Linked DNA regions of Nothobranchius furzeri. The protein of the gene in region 3 purifies or fractionates together with the protein of the main gene of each other region. This does not show direct contact. Links are inferred from orthologs where the notes say so. Each region holds a gene or a part of one and is shown on either strand. Other genes may lie near its edges.

Evidence for each region. Proteins that work in one complex are often made in the same cells at the same time.
Region 1: the proteins of ciao1 (region 3) and narfl purify together in Homo sapiens (affinity purification with western blotting; 3 studies listed by BioGRID and IntAct, with this or other methods). This does not show direct contact. The link is inferred for Nothobranchius furzeri from reciprocal best matches to the Homo sapiens genes CIAO1 and CIAO3.
Region 2: the proteins of ciao1 (region 3) and pole purify together in Homo sapiens (affinity purification with western blotting; 3 studies listed by BioGRID, with this or other methods). This does not show direct contact. The link is inferred for Nothobranchius furzeri from reciprocal best matches to the Homo sapiens genes CIAO1 and POLE.

The regions. Positions count from the first base shown.
Region 1 is NC_091752.1:55,720,475-55,723,415, reverse strand, and holds the end of narfl (cytosolic Fe-S cluster assembly factor narfl), read left to right. Parts: coding exon 1-119; intron 120-205; coding exon 206-408; intron 409-489; coding exon 490-627; intron 628-707; coding exon 708-865; intron 866-1,851; coding exon 1,852-2,093; 3' UTR 2,094-2,336; downstream 2,337-2,941.
Region 2 is NC_091757.1:45,283,358-45,287,636, forward strand, and holds the end of pole (DNA polymerase epsilon catalytic subunit A), read right to left. Parts: intron 4,234-4,279; coding exon 4,101-4,233; intron 3,944-4,100; coding exon 3,742-3,943; intron 3,669-3,741; coding exon 3,537-3,668; intron 2,222-3,536; coding exon 2,028-2,221; intron 1,539-2,027; coding exon 1,338-1,538; intron 1,267-1,337; coding exon 1,141-1,266; intron 1,069-1,140; coding exon 979-1,068; intron 896-978; coding exon 782-895; 3' UTR 606-781; downstream 1-605. UniProt on the Homo sapiens protein: Catalytic component of the DNA polymerase epsilon complex. Participates in chromosomal DNA replication.
Region 3 is NC_091757.1:37,107,905-37,111,623, forward strand, and holds ciao1 (probable cytosolic iron-sulfur protein assembly protein ciao1), read right to left. Parts: upstream 2,471-3,719; 5' UTR 2,234-2,470; coding exon 2,095-2,233; intron 1,968-2,094; coding exon 1,819-1,967; intron 1,735-1,818; coding exon 1,623-1,734; intron 1,546-1,622; coding exon 1,457-1,545; intron 1,381-1,456; coding exon 1,185-1,380; intron 1,105-1,184; coding exon 1,035-1,104; intron 966-1,034; coding exon 734-965; 3' UTR 534-733; downstream 1-533. Other genes in the region: snrnp200 (U5 small nuclear ribonucleoprotein 200 kDa helicase), read left to right, coding at 1-100; tmem127 (transmembrane protein 127), read left to right, coding at 3,196-3,433, 3,530-3,694. UniProt on the Homo sapiens protein: Key component of the cytosolic iron-sulfur protein assembly (CIA) complex, a multiprotein complex that mediates the incorporation of iron-sulfur cluster into extramitochondrial Fe/S proteins.

The sequences.
Region 1 (2,941 bases), on a different chromosome or scaffold from region 3:
GTTGGATCTGCTATGCTGAGAAGACACACGGAGACTACATTCTTCCATACATCAGTACCACTCGCTCCCCGCAGCAGGTGATGGGCTCCCTGGTTAAAGGATATTTCGCAAAACAACAGGTGTGATTTGGATTTGGGTTTAATATAAAAATGTTTGTGTTTGTTATGAAAACAGCAGCTGATCCATATGTTATGTGTGTTATAAGGGCCTGAGTCCACAGCAGATCTACCACGTGTGTGTGATGCCCTGCTTTGACAAGAAACTCGAAGCCTCTCGCTCCGACTTCTACATGAGCGACGCAGAGACCCGAGAAGTGGACTGTGTCATCACATCAGGAGAGGTTCAGAGGATGATGGAGGAGGAAAATGTGTCCCTCTCGGATGTTGAGCCTGCAGCTCTGGATACAATGTCAGTTTTAGGGCCATTTGGCTTCATTTTTAGACACATTTTCACAGTAAGCAGTTTAAAATGTTTGTGTATTTCATGCAGGTTCAGCAGCGTGTGTGGGGATGAGTTTCTGAGCCATGCTGGGAGTGGCTCTGGAGGTTACCTCCATCATGTGTTCACCCATGCTGCTAAACAGTTGTTTGGAGAGGAGGTGAAGGAGCTCACCTATAAAACGCTCAGGTGAGTTTACATTCACTGGACGTATGGATAAATAAACGTAAGAATTTCTGCAGCTTATTTGTTTTTTTTTGACCAAACAGGAATAAAGACTTCCAGGAGGTGAGACTAGAGAAGGACGGAAACGTCCTCCTCTGTTTTGCCTTGACCTATGGTTTCCGCAACATTCAGAACCTGGTGCAGAAACTCAAGAGAGGAAAGTGTCCCTACCACTTTGTAGAAGTCATGGCCTGTCCGTCAGGTAAAGTGACAGGGTATCTGCAGGTTTAAGGGAGCCAAATTTAAGACTTTTTAAGGCCACTTTGACCAAATTTAAGCAATTATTTAAAATTAAATTTAAGCTATAATTTCCTGCTATTGCCTGGAACCGGTGCTAACCACGTCGCGAACGGATACCCCGAGTGAACGATGAAGATCCGTAATGGGTTTGCTGATCACTGAATGCTCAAAGGAAGAGCTACAAGAATGTCACAAAGGATCGGTATTTGGCAAACAAGTTTAAATATGAAATATTCTCTTTGGCATATTTTTCTGTTTTCTGAGCCTTTTATGTTATTTTCATTTAGTTTTTTGACTATTGGTTGATTATTAGTCTTTGAACCTTCATATACAAGGTATCCACGGGTCCTTAAAAAGTCTTAAATTTGCTTTTCTAATTTTAAGGCCCTAAAAATCCTTACAAATGACAAATAATCCTTATATAAAGTTTCGAAAGGTCTTAAATTACCAAAGACCCAATAAACAAGATTCTTTTATTTCTATAAAATTTTCTTGAATTTCTAGCTAGTGTTCAGCTTTTTTTGTGTATGATGCTGGCGTAAGCGGAACCGTACACATTCAGTTGGCTGTGAAATGGGGCTTTTTTTAAATGAGCACATTAGCTTATTAAGCTAGTGGGAGCTTGTGCCATGGGGAAGTGCAAGTTTAATGATGGCTAATCCCACGTTTGCAACGTGGTTAGCACCGGTTCCAGGCAATAGCTGGAAATTATTGCTTAAATTTAATTTTTAAAATAGCTTAAATTTGGTCAAAGTGACCTTAAAAAAGGTCTTAAAAAGTCTTACATTTGGCCCCCTTAAACCTGCAGATACCCTGATATAACACCACAGTCTAAAGTGTCTGTTTATAATAATCAGCCTCTCAGTTTATAAGGCGAAGGCCGGAGCATCATGGGCTGCAGGTGTGCCTCTTGTAGATGTTTGCTGATCATCCCTTGTTCTCCTCCAGGTTGTCTAAACGGTGGAGGTCAGGTGAAACCCTCAGCTGGTCAGAACCAAAAGGAGCTTCTTCAGAAGGTGGAGGAGCTCTACAGGGCAGACCGCCCCCTGGTGCCAGAAAGTGACCCTCGTGTGGCTGACCTGTACCACAGCTGGCTGAACAGTTTGGGAGAAGACGGTGCGAAAGAGCTGCTGCACACGCAGTACCACACGGTGGAGAAGATGACCAACGGGCTCACCATGAAGTGGTGATTAGTCTTTGTTTGCAGGTGTTGTAAATCTGGACATCTGTCTCTTCAGAGACGAGTTGTTTGACTTATGTGATGTCCTTTAAATGACCTTCTCCTGTGTGCCTGATAAACCCTGTGATTTATGATTATTAGTAAATAATTCTTGTCTGTGTGCTGCCTGTTACTAAGGAACAGACACATTAATTTTCTATTTAAGGATCGATGTAAATACACTCTAAAAAATAAAAACCTCATTTAACTACAACTGTGTGTTGTGTAATCCGTTTTAAAGAGCAACATCAGATTATACAATCAGAATGTTTATTGTTCATTAATGTACAGTTTGGGAGTTAACTTTGGTGAAAAGCAGACATTTACATTAAGACTTATGCATTCTTATTACATAAAGTAAATACTCGTTTCAAAATTGGTAATGAAAGTAAACCGTAAGTTTTACATGTTAGGTCAGAAACGAGGTGTGTATTTGAAAACCAAAAAAAGTGTATCCATTCTGAAACGCTTAAGAAAACGAGTTACCCAAAAAAATTCCTACATAACTCGGAAAACCAACAATAATTATATTTGTTCCCTAAATAAACATTATTCAAATACCCGTGCCAGCTTCATCCTGTCAGTTCCACTGATTACCAGCCTTGTGCCATTAAGCTATAGCTAAGAGAGCAGCGCTAAGAAGGAAATGTTTTAGGAGTTTGTTCGGTCGCTAACACACCGGTGTGGTGTCAAAATAAAAGCCTCATCTATGTCCTAGAGGTCGTACCAGACGACTTAAGTTCCACGATGTGAGCGGTGTATGATCGGATAGGAACACGAATGGAAGAAGAGACACACTAGTGTCTTTGTGCAGACGTT
Region 2 (4,279 bases), about 8.2 Mb from region 3:
CGAGCCCGTCTACAAGACTCGAACGTCAGTGGTGAAGCAGAACTTGAGACTGGGGGATCGATATCTGCGGGGAAGGATGGAGATAAAACAGCAGCCATGCTGGTTTGAGAACTAGTTATAATAGAGGAAATTTCAATTTCACTTTAAACAGTTTCAATCAGACACATATTGGATTTACAAAGAAGATGCATAAAATAAAAGCTTCACATATGGAAGGTTTTGTTATTTTCCAACAACAGCAGGTGTCAGAAAGATCATCTGAGAGAAATAATCTAATCATGTCTCCGGTTTAAATGTGGTTACCCATATGGGAGAAAGCCATCAGCAGGGAAATTAAATCACTGGGAACTTCTTAAGTGTAGGTTAAACCACAATTCACTTTGAATTTAAATAAATATATATATATATATATTTAAATAACTGAATATATATATAACCTCAAAATATTGTTCCTGCAGTAACTAGAAAACAGAAATGCTGAATTTGTTCATTTTCTCCTCATCAGACTACATTTTTTGTTTACCTCTCATAAAAAAATGCATTTTGTACCATGCAAAAAACCATCTAAATAGCAGAATAAATAAACCAATAAAAATAAAACAAGCTCAAATTTTAAACAGTTGCGCTTTAATTAACTGGTGAAAAACTGAAATCCATACACATAAAGCAAAGTTCAGACATATTTACAGAAGAAACATTCCTCCTCTCAGTTCAGCATCAGAGATGATCAAGTGGATAAAGATCGAGTGCTTCCCAGGAGGGTCGCCTCTGCTTGTCACGTTCAGTGGCTGATCTGAGGGCTCATCTCCAGCAGCCAGTGGATGGTCTCCTCCAGGAATCTCATGTTGAAATGGGATGCAATGTTCTGAAACATGGAGATCTGCTGGGCGAAGCTCTTTAAAAACAAGAAGAGAAGGGTTGAGTCAAGAGGAATCGATGTCCGATTTCTCTTATTAAGATCGTAGTTTGAGAGGAAACCTTGGATGAGAAGGTCAGGTCAAAGTCGCCGGCACATCTGCAGTAGAGGGGCATGTTTGCTTCCTTCACCCCTTTACATTTGGTGCACACCTAAAAATCCCACAAACCAGGAAGTTACAACCGAAATGATTTGGTCCGGTTAGCTTTCTGGCACGTACTCACCAGGTCTTGCAGCGTGTAGCTCATGAGTTTCTTCTGCAGAGCTTCAACCAGGGCCATCTCAATTGAGTCTGTCTCATACTGGACCTGACAGTTTGAGCAGAACCACTGAGGCAACACAGACCCGTCCTAAAAAACAAAGAAAAAGTGATGATTCCATTTGAATGAACACGACGGTGTTCGTATCAGGCGCTGCTCACCTGTGCCACTGACGGGTCCTTACACAGGTCCAGGTCCCGACAGAAATTGCAGTGGTGGCAGATGACTTCAGGCAGGATGTAGGAGTTGCAGGGATCACGGAACTGAGCTTCGTCTGAAAACTCCCCCACATCCACCAGACGTAGGAGGTCTCGCTTCAGCTTGTTCACCTGATTCACAATGTTGGCATCCAGAGAAAGGACCTGAAATATAAAACACAGAGCTGCTCATAAATGCTGGACTTTAATGTACTGCTGTGCTAATAATAATAATAATAATAATAATAAATACATTATATTAACAAATCTAATAATAATAAAAATATAAACCACAAACAGAAATAGTTAATAAATTATGGAATTCAAAGTACTGATGTGCAAAATTAAATAAACATTTGAATAATTTTAAAAATATATAACTATTTACATGTAAATAAATATCACATTACATTATTATAATTAATAATGTTAATAATATTAAAGAAACAATTATCTCTAACTGAAAACAATTAATAAATAATATAATAATATGCAAATATATAACAATAACATTACTACTACTAATTAAAAAAACTATGAATACATAATATATCATAATTTTATTATATACTATAATAAATCAAAACCGCGGGCAGAAAGGTTAATAAGGGGTGGATTCTGATGAACTGCTGTGCGTCAGGATCGCGTCCGTACCTGGCAAACGTATTTGACGAACTCCAGAGCAGGGTTGTTCAGAGGCAGGTGTGAGCCGGGCAGGACGGGAAACATCTCTGACGTCTGGGTCACGTTCCTGGAGCCCGTCACCTTTTTCTGGATCTTCTGAGTGATGGTGAAAATGTTCTGGGTCAGCTCGCTCGCCACGTACTCCTGAGAGAAGGAAATCATTCCTGGAGAAGAAAGCAATAACAGTAAAACACAACCGAGTCCAACACACATCCTGAATCTCAACTTTGTTTTTTTTTTTAAATTAACTTAATTCTTCTTCCGGCTCTTGGAGAGTTCAGACGCTTTTTTCCTCCTCTTCTCCCTATCATAACCCAAGGCTCTTTGTCTGACTTTGGGTGTACGGCGCTTCTGCATTTTTTCTGGAAACTAGAAATTATTACAATGGGCCTGGTCAGTTGGTCTCAACGTGATTGACAAAAGGAGAGAAGGGGCTCCCGGGTGCCCCTCTGAGACAGAGCCAGCTGGGCATATCATGGACTCCTGGAAACAGCGGAACCTGATCTGCCTCTCTCAACTGTCTGTAGAGGATTCTGAAGACGTCTGGATATTCGTGGTGTTGGTGTCAGGTTTCATGCTGTTTGGCCCGAGCGGTTACCTGGCTTACCGGAAAATTAACGAGCTGTCGAGGCTCAATCCCAGAGCTCAGGGATGGATTACACCGCACAAACTCATAACTGTCTAAATGAGTCGTAAGCTTGGAACTTTGGCTGAGATTCAGACTCTGGCACAGAAGATTGATGCCACCAAGGATAGAGTTGACGGATCAGCACGGATTGGGATAGATTCATTTACGCCATTATTGGATTCAGACGGGTTGGAGATCAACAGAACTTTAAGACAGAGAGGAAATTATCTCTGTCTGGCCCCAAAGCAAGTTCTTATCTGAATCTGGTGCCCTTGAGCCTGTGAGGCTGAAGTGACCCCCCCCCCGAAGAAATGTGTAATGCTGTTGTCGCCATGGTAACTGTCTCCCTATCCCAGCCTGGGCGGGACTGCGACCGGTGAAGGCCATTGAATCGTTCCAGGAGTCACTGTGCTCTCTAACCCAAATACCTCCTTCCCCTGTCCAAACGGAGGTGACGAGCGCTGCTTATCGCGGCTGCATGCACTGATGTGAGGACGGTCCCCAACCCTACCACCCCACCTAGTGGACACTTATGTTGTGTGATGTCTGAAGTCTGTTGCATTTCTGTCTGAGGTGTTTTTTGCCTTGCAAAGCTGCCCTCCCGGTGGAGGGTAACTCTGAAGTGCCTTTTTTCCTCCACCTGACCCAATCCTCATATAAACCCTCTGATCTCTATTAAGGTAGCGCGACTCAGGTTGCGAATGACCACAGTCACCAATTCTTGTCATGTGTCTATGTATGAATGTCTGATCTCAGAATTGTGTGTACTGAAACTCTAATTTCCCTCTGGGATTAATAAAGGATCTTTGAATTGAATTTGAATTAAGAAGCCTCTTAAACTGCCTCTTTACCAGGAAGTGCGCTCAAGTCCCCAACGGCCTGCTGTGAAACCTGGCTGCCTCCGCGCCTCTTGACTGGCGTTGCTCCCGGAGCGTTACGTCTCAGCTCCTCTTTCATGCTGTGGTAAACGGCAGCGATGTAGGCTGCACGGGAGGAGCGGGACGGTAAATAATAACTCAGAAATGAATAAGAATGAATAACTTTTTATTATTTTACCTGAAACAATCATGAGGAAGTATTTCTGACAGGAAGCCGTTTGGGGAAGGTAATGCATGATGTTCCAGCTGCTCTCAATCAGCTCTTCCACCTCATCAGCCTCTCCATCTCCATCATCTTCCTCAGCGTTGTCCTCAGCCTCATCTTCACTCCCGTCCTCGTCTTCCTCTCCTTGTGTGATTTTCTTCTCTTTGGCGTTTTCCTAAAACCATAAAAACGGGAAAGTGTTTAGAGTACTTTAAGTGTTTTAGTTCAAACTCTATAAATAAACATTTTAAATAAACCTGGTTCATATGACACATTTTTATGCTTCCGATCCGTTTTTTTATTCTGCAAACTGAACTTTTAGATTGCGGTACCTCTCCATACAGAACGCTGGAAGGTAGTTTGCCCTTGACGCCGCCGTAGTTAGCTGGATCCATCCACAACAGGAAGTCCCAGCATCGGGAGAAGGAGATGGACAGGGAGTGGAAGATCTCCCTGGAATGTATGCTAGAAAGGAAACACAGGCGGGTGATTGATGAAAATGGATCAAACG
Region 3 (3,719 bases):
GTACTTCATGAGTGATGCGTACATGGGTTGTGACCAGGAGTACAAGTTCAGTGTGGATGTGAAGGAGGCCGACAGCGAGGGAGAAAGTGACTCAGACTAAGTTTTACTGAATACTGTGTTGTCTCCATTTGAGAGGGAATCAATGGGTGTGTTGTAGATATTCAACCTGATTTGTTTCTTTGAATTTAAACTTCTCACTTTTGCCCAAAGTATGTCAGTTTTTTTTAGTGACCCGATTGATGAAACAGTCCAAAATTGGTGTGCAGGATCTGTTTTCCGTATTAAAAATGAAATGCATGTTTTGGATTCAGCTGGATCCACTGACAATACTGCTTTAAATATGGGAAGCATAATTTTGTACTTTTCTTGTCAGGTTTGCTTTTTAAAATAAAAGATGCAACAATTTGGTTTCAGATTATGTCTAAAGTTACATTGCAGATGTAAAATGGTTTTCCCTAGATTAGTAAACATGTTTTTAAGAATCTATTGTCTGGCATGTTCTTTTCTTTTTATTAAAATGAAACCACACAGTCTTGTGTTTTTGTATTTATTCATAAACATGTTTGATTAAGCCATTTTTAAAAAGTGTACAAGATGAGCTGCAGCGGTTTTCCGATCACAAAAATTAAAACGAGATTAATCAAGCCATGAAATAACAGATGTGGTGCCTTAAAGATAAAGTTCCCAGTATGAGATCTAAAACCAAAAGCACTTCGGTGCATTTGTCACTGAATCAGTCTTCTTTGAACCTCCAAATGGCAAGTTCTCCATTGTCGCTGCAGGAGGCAAGAATTCCAGCTTCTTTCGGGTTCCAGGAAGCACAGTTAACGTCCTGGTTGTGAGCTTTGGTTACCTGAGCAACCAGCGAGAATACAGGTTCTTCTGGATTAGAGGTCACGTCCTCTCTGAAAACTCGAACTGCGTCGTCACCGCAGGCAGTTGCCAGGGCGCCAGTCAGCGGACACCTGAACAAATGGTGTTTAAGTCAGTTTGAAGGTAATTCATTCAGATCACTGATAGAAGTTCAGTCTTACCAGGACACATCATACACTGTTCGTCCATGATACCCAGACAGAGTGCAAACACACTTCCAGGACGTGTCACCTTTCAACATACAGAGCAGGTAAAAAAAAGGATTTGTTTGTAAATAAATGGCTTCGGTGTTACTGTTCATAACTACTGACCACTCTCAGAGGGATATTCTTTCCAAATCTTCACAGTGCGATCATCGCTGCAGGACGCCATCCTCTGTCCAGTTGCATCAAAGCACAAACTCCAGACGGTGGAGGTGTGTCCTTCCAAAGTAGCGCGACATTCCCAGTCATCGTCTTCTTCCTTGTAAATACAAATGTTGTTGTCGTAGCTGGCCGAAGCCAGGAGCTGAGGAAACAGACAATAACCTCAAAAATGAGAATGGAGCTACAGATGGAGATAATGTCTACAGATCTGAGTCTACCTCTCGGGTCGGGTGCCACGCTACATGCTTAACATCTTGTGTGTGAGAGTTTAGAACTGTGACACACTCATACTCATCTTCTTCATCCACTGTGGGACAGAGGGAAAACACCTATTAACCAGATCTGATCAAATTGTATTTATTACATGTGTAAATAAACACAAACCTTCCCAGATCCAAACGCTTTTGTCTCGACTGCATGTGGCCAGGAGGTTCCCTGATGGAGCCCACGCCACACATTTGACCTCATTTTCATGTCCCTCCAACACTGTCAAACTCTATAAAGACATTTACAAATGTGTCAAGTTCACGGTTAAATGCTTTTTTAATCACACCACTGAACAACAGAGGTCTCATCTAACCTCAAAACCCTCGTTATTCTTCTTCCAGATGCATGTAGTTGCATCAAAGCTGGCAGAGGCCAAATAATTTCCACATGGAGACCAGGCCACTTTCCTCACGGTGCGCTGGTGTCCATCCTCCAGCACACTCTTACAAACCCAGGAGTCTCCTACGGATAGAGGGGGTCACCGAGGTCAATAGATTAATTATTTTACCAACAGATAACTAATAATCAGAGTGTGTGTGTGTGTGTGTGTGTGTGTGTGTGTAAGAGAGAGAAAGAGATGACAGGCTACCTTCGCGTCCCCAGATCCGGATGGCCTTGTCCCCGCCACACGAAGCCAGCAGAGTCCCGTTTGGGCTCCAAGCGACAAACCAACACCGAGAGTCCGGGTGTGCGCTGAGCCTGTGAAGCAGCGTGAGAGTCTCCTTCATACTGACTTAATGACTATTAAATATTTAGTTAACAGGTCTCGTCACTTTTGTCTTTTCCTTCCCAGAAAAATCCGATAAGAAACTCAAACAAAACCCATCAAAGCAGCAGAGCCACTATCACTATTAACATATTTTGAGAAGATAAGGAATTAACTTGCAATAAAGAGCAAATTAAAGAAGTTCATAGAAACATCCACAACTGACGTGCCGCCATCTTTGCTTATCGGAAGTGCACACTGTGGGCTTCCGTCTTCCTTTAAAAACAAACTTAAATATATTTTTTTTAAATAAACGGAAACAAATTCAGTTGTCGTAATAAAATATATAATTATTCATAAAAAAAGCGAGATTTATGTATAAGATTTAAAGTCTATGGTAAATGCAGAGAAGTTTTCATCGTTGTGTAGTTTTTTTAACCGGTAGGTGGGGCTAGTGATCACAGGTTCTACTGTAGCTACGACGAAACCCGGTGGAAACAGGAAGTCAATGCTTTAGAGGAAACCAGCGTAAGCTGTCTTTTGTTTTGTTTTCTGTTTGTTTTTCTGTAACTAAAACAATATATTTTTATTTATTGTTGTTGTAAAGATTGGGTTCTAGGTTGGCGTTTATATGTTTTTTTTGTATTCGTTTTAATCCTGTCATAAGAATTTATTATATTTGACGTTTACTGCGAATTAGCTAATCGGGCTAACAGTACAGCTAACAGGCCTGAAGGCCATCTGTCTTTTGTTTCCTCGTCAGCCAGATCCTGTTTTTTTATCGAGCAGCTGGTTCTCGTACGGAAGTATTGTATATCTTTCATCTAACAAGTCGCCTGGACCGCTATCATCCTTTAACACTACAGGTAAAATCAGCTGTACCGACTGACAGCTGTGTCAGGCGGCTAATCCCAGTTATAAACCTTAAGGAAAAGGACAGACAAGGGAACCAACACTTCCTACAAAAACAGAGATTTGGTAATCATGTATGCTCCGCCGGGCTCTACCGTACCTGGTGGCCGGAGAAGAAGAACTGCCACCTCCCTGCCCAAGCAGCCGGAGCGCAGCCTGGTGTCAGCGCTGCCCGGAGCTTTGTCCATCACAGCGCTGTGTACGGCTCTGGCTGAGCCGGCCTGGGTGCGTGTTCATGGGGGCGCCTGTCCCAGGCAGGAGCTGGGGGTTGCGGATGTCTTGGGTTACATTGATCCAAAGCTTCTAGATGGTGAGAACCTGCACAATTACTTTACAACCAGCAATTATCGATCATTGTTTTGACTCGTAATGGTTTTTGTTTGTTTTGACGTTTCTGTATCCTCAGATTACTGTGTGAACCCGCAGACCATCCTGCTGTTGAGGGTCATAGCTGCCTTTTGTTTCCTGGGCATCCTATGCAGTCTAACTGCTTTTCTGTTAGATGTGTTTGGACCGAAACACCCTGCCCTAAAGATCACTCGTAGATATGCATTTGCCCATATACTCACAGGTACAAACCTTTCATTTACACACAA